Danio rerio: one gene and its partners. The protein of the gene in region 2 purifies or fractionates together with the protein of the main gene of each other region. This does not show direct contact. Links are inferred from orthologs where the notes say so. Each region holds a gene or a part of one and is shown on either strand. Other genes may lie near its edges. The genes, in order: ppp6c, ppp6r2a and ankrd28b.

Region 1 (2,955 bases), on a different chromosome or scaffold from region 2:
GTAAGGCTCACTGGAAATTTTTCTTGCGGCTTTGGAGCTGCGAACATCCAAACGTACAGTAGCAGCCACTTACTTGACAGCAGGGAAAGGCACAGCCAATCACACTGTGTCTGTATGCTTTTGGGGGAGGTATAGAGCTCAAGTAGAGAACATGATATTACCTAATAGAGAACAACAGACAGTTGGTTCGTTGTAGTTGATTCTATTTTTTTTTTATGAATTAGGTAGCTTCTGTAGCATGTACATACAATGGATTTATTGATTATGAATGTTATTTCAAATGGCTTTTGATACTATGAATCTGAATATTTTTTTATTTTTAAATGGAAAGAACTGTCATTAGTAGTTTATAGAATTAAAAACAAATCAATTGATCTTTTTCAATTGTGTACATAAATTACACAGATTCGGGATATTATTTATTGTTGCAATACATCATTGCAGAACTAGCATAAAATGGTTGCAATATATTCAGTGCTTCAAACTAAAAATCATATCGATTGGCTAGTTTAACTTGTCAATTATCTAATAATTGTTGTTTGTTTCTCCCACAGTTGATAGATGAGCAGATCCTTTGTGTACATGGTGGCCTTTCACCTGACATCAAAACTCTGGACCAGATACGCACCATTGAACGCAATCAGGAGATCCCTCACAAGGGAGCATTTTGTGACCTTGTTTGGTCCGACCCAGAGGACGTGGACACCTGGGCTATCAGTCCAAGAGGAGCTGGCTGGCTGTTTGGTGCTAAGGTCACTAATGAGGTAAAAATCGCTCTCAAAGTGCACAGTCTGCTTTGTTTTTGGCTTTTATAACACTTCCCTATGGAAGATACTATTGCTCTGTAATTACAGATTGAGGTCTGCTAATTATTTGTTGATTCTAGGCATGGGCCTGTATAAGTTTTGCACGGTACGATAAACTTGGATAAAAATACCACTGTTTCACGTTGTTGCGATTACTGCTTTAAAATAAGTTAACTTTAATTTTTTTTTTGCCGTATTAAACACAAAATATTTAATTTTAGTAGACATTTATAATATTTTGGAACACTAAACATGTCAGGCTAAATAATTAAAATGCACCATTGACCTCTGCACTCTTCATATGTTTCAAAAACACAGATTAATTTACAAAACACAAAAAAAAAAACATTTAAAAAAAGCTTGCATATACCTTAGAAATGGTACGACAGTAAATATTAGCGGTTTTAAAATCAAACCATGGTAAACCCTGAAACTGCTTATCATCCCATGCCTTGTCAATTTTCTTTGAACTATGCAGAAACTGAGTTTTTGTGTGGCTCATACTCACTGCCTAAGTAATAAAGATGGAGACTTAGTAGTTGGCATCTGCATGTACATTCTAGTGCACAGTGTCTGAGATTGTAGTAAAAGTAAAAACCTCACTTCATGCATAACCTAAATCTTTTTATTTGTTTTTTTCTGTTAAAGTTTGTTCACATCAACAACTTGAAGCTGATTTGCCGTGCACATCAATTGGTTCATGAGGGCTACAAATTTATGTTTGATGAGAAGCTGGTGACCGTCTGGTCGGCCCCAAACTACTGCTACCGCTGCGGTAACATTGCCTCCATCATGGTCTTCAAAGACGTCAACACACGGGAGCCCAAGTTATTCCGGGCCGTTCCTGACTCAGAAAGAGTCATACCACCGAGAACGACAACACCCTATTTCCTCTGAGGTCTTCATTGTTGCCTATGTCTCGCCCTCTCCTTTTCATGGTTGTCATGAGCTCTTTTATTGTCTTTATTTTCTCTGTGTTGCTTTTTTTTTTTTTTTTAACAAATATTTTTGTAAAGATGGAAGTGCTCTCAATAATAACAACAGAAAACTATGGTTACAGTTCTGAACCCTGTTGAAAATGTTTTAAGTTGGTCGTTATTCGGTCAGTATAATCTTGTTAATGTGAGCGTAATGAAGTGAACATCCCCATGCTGTACTTGCAGGCCTTTTAAATGTAGACCTAAGAGCCGTTGACCATTTAATGACAAGCATTTATAGTGTAACACCTCGCCTGATCAGAACAATGTGGTGTTTGTGTTTTTCAGAGCACAGACCAGAAAGAGAGTCACTAAAACAGCTATGTTCTGGTCAGTTTGCTCCCAATTTCTCCAAGACAAAGACACTTTTGTTTTTCGTAGCTTTCAAGTGTTGAAAAGGGTTGAAGCAATGATTAGACAACAGGACAAAGAAGGCTGTGATTATTTTGTACATTAATATAAATTGTATTGATTTAATCAACTTTTTTTTCTCAGATTTGTTGTATTTTATTATTGTAGAAAACGGCAGCCCATTTACCAATTAAATATTGAGAATAAACGCCTTTATTATTAAGTTACATTTCTGGTGTTGTGTCCTAATCAATCGAAATATTTAATTACACACACAAGTTTAAATGCACTAAAATAACACACCATAGGGAGGCGCGCCTTCCTCCCTTGTCCATCCAACAGGCAGAACCGTGGAAGGCAGTTCTACGCTAGTCCCGCCTCAAAGTGTAAGTTGTATTCAGATTGACACCGCAGCCAACCAATGAAATACCTTGAACGTCACTAACAGACCGGAGGGAATCTGACAAGCACGCTAGTTTGAGCGGGTTGCCACAAAACAGTCAATGAAAATTCAACTGGCCAGACTGAACCGTCGACCGCAGCAGATGCCGAATGGCAGATACTCCCTGCTTTTCCCTGGGAGGGTGATTTGAATGAGTTGGATGTAAATGACGGTGCGCCACCGCACTGGATGTCTAGATTTGTGTCGGGGAGAGATTTACAAGCGCGCGCTACCCGGAGACGCCGTTCTTGAGGAGCTGAAACAGAAGAAGCTGCTCTGAACTACATCAGTCTCAGGTTGGCTCTCAGATCACTGACTTTTTTAGGGGTACTGCACTCAGAGTAATACGCTAGGGGAAAAGGCAAACACTGCCCAAGTT
Region 2 (3,659 bases):
CTTTGAGCAAGTGAGGCCTATCAGACTGTGTGAAATGTATCGCCCAGGGTGTTATGCGTGGGTATCAGTCATCTATTGGGAAAGGTCTGACCAGAGTGGTTAGAAAATCTTCACAGCACAGGTGATTTCAATCAGTACTTAAAGAAAGTTGCTCTTCATGTTCCTGTTGATTCATGTTTTGTTTTTAGTGGGACGTGTTAGTTGGATGCTTTAAAGGTCTATCAATTATTTTTCTCCCCTTGCTTGTACTTTTATTCTCCAGATTTCCTTTCATCTGTTAGTTCTGCTTTCCATCACAATTCTTCCCCCCTCCCACTCGCTTTGGGAGTGGGAACTTGGTTCCAAACCTGTTAGGCTGAATTCATAGACAGCTGCTTTTTTTAGGGAAGCTTTCTAATCATCATGGATCTTCATAAGGGACTGATTTGAAACACTCTACATCAGTGGTTCTCAACTGAATCAGAGTGCTTTATCTTTTTCAGATAATCTTTAAATTAAAAATACAACACAAATCTAAACCTTTTGTTTTTTTCAATTTTATTTTATTAAGAAAGATAAAATATTAATAACATTTTTCCTCACCCAAATGTGGACAAACGTAAAATGTTTCACATAAACATCTTAAAAGCAGTTGTAAATGGTGCAAACTGATTAAACCATTCTTTATGTCTTTCGATTAGTGAATCAGCCACCTTGAATTGCTCTCCCCGACCCCTTTTTGCAGTCTCATTTTGAGACTGTCTTCTATTGCTAGAGATTTCATTTTAAAAAGATATATATGTCCCTGTGCACTTTGCATTATCCTTCACTTGTATTTGTTATCTTCATTTTCTTTCCTTCTCTTTTTCAGGCTTGTGCTTCCTGCAGCAGCTGCCACCACCGCCATCATGTTCTGGAAGTTTGACCTGAACAACACCTCCCATATTGACCAGCTGCTGGATCGAGAGGGCGTGACTCTGAGAGAGTTGATGGAAGAGGAGGATGTTCTGCAGGAATGCAAAGCACAGAACCGCAAGCTCCTGCTCTTCCTCTCCAAGGATCACTGTATGCAGGAACTTGTCACTCTAATCACTGAGGAACCTCCTGCTGATTTGGAGGAGAAAACTCGCTTCAAGTAAGAAAGAAACTAGTTTGGCTGGCTGTGGACATTACAGATTAGGTTTAACCAATGATATGAGTTTCACGTAAACAGATGGGGAAGTGTGCAGGACACCTGTTGGAAAAGTGCCATTATGATTATTATACATTCAAGTTTAGGGATTCTGTCACGTTTCATTTTCTCTACAAAATTTCATTGGTTAAAAATAATTTAATAACAGGGTGGTGCATTTTTTTTTTCCTTTGACGTTTTGCAGATAATTCACTAATGTTACATCTTGCGTGTTTATTCACTGCAAGCAAACTATAGTCTACCTGGCAGGAAAAACTATCCAGACTGCTACTGAGAATTGCTGAATTATAACGGTAGGACATATTGTTCACTGGAAGCACTGCGTGCTTGGAGCTCCTGGTTACGAGAGGGCTGTAAAATTGACAGGGAAGATGTAGAAGAGCAGAGAAGTGGAGAGGGGAATGTTCAATTGGCAAATGTATGGAAATGGAAATGTCAAAGAGAAATGATTGAGTTAAAAACTGATGTGTAACAACAACTGCATAATGTTCAGACTCTGTGTTTTAAATCAAGAGTTTCTGTGTTTTACTTGTATTGTTCAACATAAAATATGTGAAGTAATCTCATGGCTTGAAATCTCTCTGTTTTAGCACTTTCTGTTGGGACCATATGGTTAGAGTGAGAGAAAAAGATTACGGTTCATTTAAAACTAATCATTTGGTTCTCTGTGTGTAGGAGGCAGAATCATTTGTCTTGAAATGAGCAAGTGGATTCACTCAAAACGTCTTTTCTCTCCAAGTGTTGTGAAATGTTATTTCATTGACTGAAATATCTTCTTGCCAACACTGATTTAGATTTCTCACTTGGTTTTTCTTTTCTTTTCTTTTTTTTGGTCAAATTTACCATTTCCACAATATAAGGCACTGATGCAGAGTTTATAACCCTCTCTTGCGGCATTGACAGCACTGCACCACTGAGTTGGATGGTATTTACTTTAGTGCTTTCTGAGAGACAGAAGATAAGTAGTTCTGCAGAGCAACTTTGTTAAATTTGAGTTGCCTTCATTAGAACCTCAGAAACTGCCTTTGTTTGTTTAGTTAAAAGCCAAGTCACCATAGACTGTTGCATTTGTTTTTGATAGCATTGTCACATGTATCAGTATATAATATAGATTTCTTTCTTTGGTTCTGTTTATCCAGGTTTCCAAACATTGCCTGTGAGCTCCTGACCTCTGATGTGGCTCTTATCAATGATAAGCTGGGTGGAGACGAATCCCTTTTGGAGAAGCTCTACCATTTTCTGGAGCAGGAGCCCCCTCTTAATCCTTTGCTGGCCTCCTTCTTCAGCAAAACCATCGGCAACTTGATTGCACGTAAAACAGACCAGGTACACACACATGAACACACCAAATAGTGCAACAGTAATACTGGGGTTTGTATAATTAGCTTAATACGTTTTCTGCTGATCTGCTTGCAGGTAATCTCTTTCCTAAGGAAAAAACACAACTTTATCAGTCTGGTGCTGAATCACATCGATGCCTCTGCCATGATGGACCTATTGTTGCGCCTCATCAGCTGTGTAGAGCCTGCCCCCTTGAGGATGGAGGTCCTCAATGTAAGCACGCTTAAATTGCAAGATATTAAGGAGAATGAACATATTTCTGCTTTTTTAAGAGACCACTTGCAAGCTTAATTCTTGTGAGCAACAAATATTTATATATGTTATGTATGAGCCATATCACACGAGTAGCAGTGCGATATAGCTGTATATCGGCACTGGTGGGAGGTGTGCGTTGCGCTTAGTGCCCCCACCAGTGCCGATATACAACCATATCACACTTCTGCGAGTGTGATATTGCGTTTTTACAACAGTTTGACGGCATAATTATGTATATAAAAACAAAATCAAACATGGAGAGTCTCAAAAACCCTTTTGTATGAGGAACCACTTTCTTCCGGATTCAAATCATAAGCTGACAGTTAAACAGTTGAGCGTGCATCTTTTAAACTTTAGATCTGTAGTGTCTGCTTTTTGCTGGCTGTATGTGGGCGGAGTAATACACAAAGGGTAAAGAGGCTGTAGGAGTTCTGATATTGCAGAATATCGCACGGCTATCAGCCAATCAGATTTGAGAACCAGACAGAACTGTTGTATAAATGATATTATATTATAAATGTTTATTTTGTTTAAAATATTTTTACATTGACCTTACTTTAAAAATGATACCTTTAAAGAACATCAAGCAATTCAGTTGCTTAAATGAGACATTGACCCACATTGAACCTCATCGTTTCCTCCGAGTTCTGGCTAAATCCCCACTCACATGTCATCTGGGGTGTAACTAATCAGTCAATGAATTTGTGTTTGCAGTGGCTGAATGAAGAGAGACTAATCCAGAGACTCACAGAGCTAATGCACACGGGGAGAGATGAAGAGGTACAAATATCACTCACTCTGCTGAACTTTTTACCACCGGTCCATATGATTTTACTTATGAAAGTTTAAAGAAATAGACCAAGAAAATATATACACATAGTTTTTTACTTTA
Region 3 (3,704 bases), on a different chromosome or scaffold from region 2:
AGGCCCTTGCATGTGGCTGCCAGGAATGGCTTGACTGTGGTTGTCCAAGAACTGCTTGCTAAGGGTGCTAGTGTGCTTGCCGTGGATGAAAATGGTAAATGAGTACGATTTTTAACTTTAAAGAAATAGTTTGTTTTTTTTGTTTAATATTAGAGATGCAATGTTTTAGTGTTTCTTGTATATACCTAGATGTTGACTGCATGGACATTACCTATGAAAAATGTATTTTATATTTATTTTGTTAATGCAAGGATGCATTAAATACTGCCAGAAGTGACTATAAAGGCATTAATAGTTACAAAATATTTATGTTTAGGATATTATATTTATAAATTATTCAGTTAAAAATAGCTTTGAAAATAGCTGCACAAGTTAAAACTTTAAATGATTCATAAATGAAAACTTAGGCCCACTTCCAATTCTACCCCTTAGCCCTTCCCCTTACCCAACCTCTCATTTTGCGCATTCACGTCAAGGGGTAGGTGTGTCCCAATTCTCTTTAGCTTGAAGGCCCAGGGGAAGAGGTGATTACACCTTCGAATGAAGATTTTTCAGGAACACACTCTAAACCAAGTGGTTAAAAAATTTCCTCGAATACCCCAGCCACAACGGCATATAGTTACACCCTGACGTAAGATCTACAAATTAGTATAAAACAGACGCTAAAATTAAAACCGCTAAGTTTTGCAATCTATAATCCATAATCATAACTCCTGTTTAGCAGTTCCACAACATTCTGATACTCGATAACACTCAAATACTCTGTCAGAAAAGTCTAGTGGCTGGGAATTGGCTTTTTACGGTGTCTGCTATTATGTTATTGTTAAATGCACATTATTACGGTCTTATTGTCACATTGGATTGTTATGATAACATAATAACTTGCCTTCAGTGATTTCCCGAAGATAAATACCAATAAATAACTCAACTGGAATAACTACAGCAGTTGCCATCGTCTGATCTCATATGAAGCAAGATATTGCGATGACATATGATGACGTGTGCAGGTGCAGGTGCTGTAGTGCTTGCCCAATTCTTAGGAGTACATTTTAAATTTTAGGAGGGGTGCAAAAATAGAATTGGGTCTTAATCTCACAGTGGTCACTCATGTTCAACCCTCCCAAACCGCAGTGTTTAGAGGGAAGGGCAGGTTCAAGTTTTCCTGGGTCGGCGACTCCTATATGACGATGTTTTGTATCTACAATAACATGAAACGGCAAAACACATTTGAAAACAAGATGATTCGTATAAACAACAAGGAGTCAATTTAACATTTCTGGGAATGTGTCTGTTAATTCATTGGTCTGTCTACAAATTAAGGCCAGCATGAACTTAGAACTGTGTTACACACTGCATGGAATATAGTTATAAAAAATCCATAACAGGGGCTCTTTAAGTACAGAAGTTTTTTTTTATTTTTTTTACAAAAATATGAGGCATTATTATTTAACAAACTCTCGTATTACTGTATTATGTTTATTACATGTATTATTTATGCTCACTGTGGTATGTTTATTGTCATATTTTTTGTGTTCACAATTTCAAATTAAAATAGTAAAAATTTGATTGAGAAGAAACATTATTTCTATTTGATTTGACTATTTCATCTGTTCCTATTAATCTTTATTACTCCCTAAGGCTACACTCCGGCCCTGGCTTGCGCTCCTAACAAAGATGTGGCCGATTGCCTGGCGCTCATCCTGGCCACCATGATGCCAGTTTCTCCTGGCGGAGGCTCGGTGCCCACGCTCACATTCAGTGCCATCAACCACTACACCAGCCCCACTAAAAGCGTCACCTTCGACAGCCTACCAATGCTCCGCTCCGAACACAGCTCCTACTGCAGCTTTAACAGCATTGGCCGCCACGACGGCTTCTACAAGGACGAGGAGCTCAACGACTCCGACTCAGAGACTTACTGAGGTAAACAAAAGCAGAGGCGCACATCTTGTCTTAATTACCCAGCGGCCGGCCACTCCGCAGAGCCTTAAGAGTCTCTACACATACACACACACATACACGTGGCGCAGCAGGCTGGCCTTCCTCATCCATCAGCTCAACCTCTGCCAATGCATCTTGCCCTATGTAAATTTTAGGAATAGGTGGACGGACCTCCAGATGTGGCAATAACAAGACAAGGAATCAGCAGCCTGGGGACCAATATTTTTGCACAGGATGGTTTGACACTGTCGTATTGCAAACACGGATTCATATATAATTTTTCAGATCTTGAGGGATAATTTAAATCAGTCGCTTTAAAAAAACAAAACAAAACATAACTGGGACATTTGTGTGCTTTCAAACAGTTTTCAGTCGGTGTGCACTTCTGATCAACTATTGGGGGAAAGAAATGATTTATTTTTTAAACAAACGTGATTTTAATACCTGTCTCTGACCCTCTCGAAGGGGGAAAACAAATCGAGTAGTTTCTAAAGCGCAAAGGTGAAATTTGAGGATATGAACATCAGCGTTGTGTAATGCTTTCGGCCACAAGCATGAGTTTAAAACAAAACAAAAAAAACAGCTAACACCTCTCTCCATCTTCAGTTTTAGGATAAATTATTCTTTTTATCTATGGTATTTATTTTTACTTTCCGCATTTCATCATCATTTTGTGCCTTCATAAATTACTGTATGGAGGGAAGGGGCAGCTCGAGAGAACAAATTCTACAATGCACAAGAAGTTCAACACTACATCTGTGAAAAAAGCACTGAAAATGAAAGGCAAACGGCTCCCAGCATGCTTTGCTCCAGGATGAGGAACACTGTGTAAAAACCAATGGTAGAACAGCATTTGATCTCTTTGTATGTTGATATATGAATATAAATATATATTATATTTTTTCTGGCTCTTATTAACATGACGTTTTTTGAGCAGGTTTGCTCGCTTTGAATTAGCAAATGAAACCACTCGATACTTCTGTGATGGCCTGTCAGAAAAAAACCCCTGTGTTTGTCTCTTTTCATGCTTTTGAGTTTTGGAATGATTGAAACTGGAAACCTGTTCAGTACAGCTTCCCGTCTGAGAGGGGGGCAGCAGAAATCTGTTTGCATCGCTCTTCTTTTATTACCAGTCTTTTTTTGTGGAAATAAAGGAGAGTGATTGGTGCAGTTGATGGCCACTGCTGTCCTTCTATTCGGAACAAGAGATTCCTGTATATTTTATGGTTGATTAAATAAATAAATGAGTTCAGTAATTTGAAATTGTTGTTGTTGTCAAGTCCTTAAGAAAACGGTACAGAACAAAAATGAAATAACCCGTGGTGGAAAGAGTACTGAAAAATCATACTCAAGTAAAAGTACCATTATTTGCCTAAAATGTCGTGCAAGTAGAGTAAAATCATCTGTTGTATAATTACTCAGATTATGAGTAAAAAGTAGACTTTTCAAAAGCACTCAAGAGTAGTGAGTATTATGCTGTAAAAAGCTGATGTGTTTACATGCAAGTTGTACGTGTGTGTGTCTGTGTCTGTGTCTGTGTGTGTGTGTGTGTGTGTGTGTGTGTGTGTGTGTAAATGTAACATTCTTTAGTGCATCGAGTTCTTGCCCAGCAGGCACACAACATCATAAGTCATTAATATTAGGTAAGATTCCAGTTGTGATGTCAGGTGGCCAAAATTCAATGTCTAGTCAGCGTCTAAAGACGTAATTTTGATGTCTAATAATGACGTCAAATGACGTTGATATTTGGTCGATTTTTAGAT

The links.
Region 1: the proteins of ppp6r2a (region 2) and ppp6c purify together in Homo sapiens (affinity purification with mass spectrometry; 9 studies listed by BioGRID and IntAct, counting the BioPlex papers as one, with this or other methods). This does not show direct contact. The link is inferred for Danio rerio from reciprocal best matches to the Homo sapiens genes PPP6R2 and PPP6C.
Region 3: the proteins of ppp6r2a (region 2) and ankrd28b purify together in Homo sapiens (co-immunoprecipitation; 4 studies listed by BioGRID and IntAct, counting the BioPlex papers as one, with this or other methods). This does not show direct contact. The link is inferred for Danio rerio from reciprocal best matches to the Homo sapiens genes PPP6R2 and ANKRD28.

What each region holds. Positions count from the first base shown.
Region 1 is NC_133180.1:32,608,384-32,611,338, forward strand, and holds the end of ppp6c (serine/threonine-protein phosphatase 6 catalytic subunit), read left to right. Parts: intron 1-554; coding exon 555-764; intron 765-1,454; coding exon 1,455-1,703; 3' UTR 1,704-2,361; downstream 2,362-2,955.
Region 2 is NC_133179.1:20,679,829-20,683,487, forward strand, and holds part of ppp6r2a (serine/threonine-protein phosphatase 6 regulatory subunit 2a), read left to right. Parts: intron 1-850; 5' UTR 851-887; coding exon 888-1,114; intron 1,115-2,310; coding exon 2,311-2,497; intron 2,498-2,587; coding exon 2,588-2,725; intron 2,726-3,481; coding exon 3,482-3,547; intron 3,548-3,659. UniProt on the Homo sapiens protein: Regulatory subunit of protein phosphatase 6 (PP6). May function as a scaffolding PP6 subunit. Involved in the PP6-mediated dephosphorylation of NFKBIE opposing its degradation in response to TNF-alpha.
Region 3 is NC_133191.1:21,497,830-21,501,533, forward strand, and holds the end of ankrd28b (serine/threonine-protein phosphatase 6 regulatory ankyrin repeat subunit A), read left to right. Parts: intron 1-2; coding exon 3-94; exon of another isoform or gene 95-576; intron 577-682; exon of another isoform or gene 683-1,638; coding exon 1,639-1,922; 3' UTR 1,923-1,923; exon of another isoform or gene 1,924-2,096; 3' UTR 2,097-3,204; downstream 3,205-3,704. UniProt on the Homo sapiens protein: Regulatory subunit of protein phosphatase 6 (PP6) that may be involved in the recognition of phosphoprotein substrates. Involved in the PP6-mediated dephosphorylation of NFKBIE opposing its degradation in response to TNF-alpha.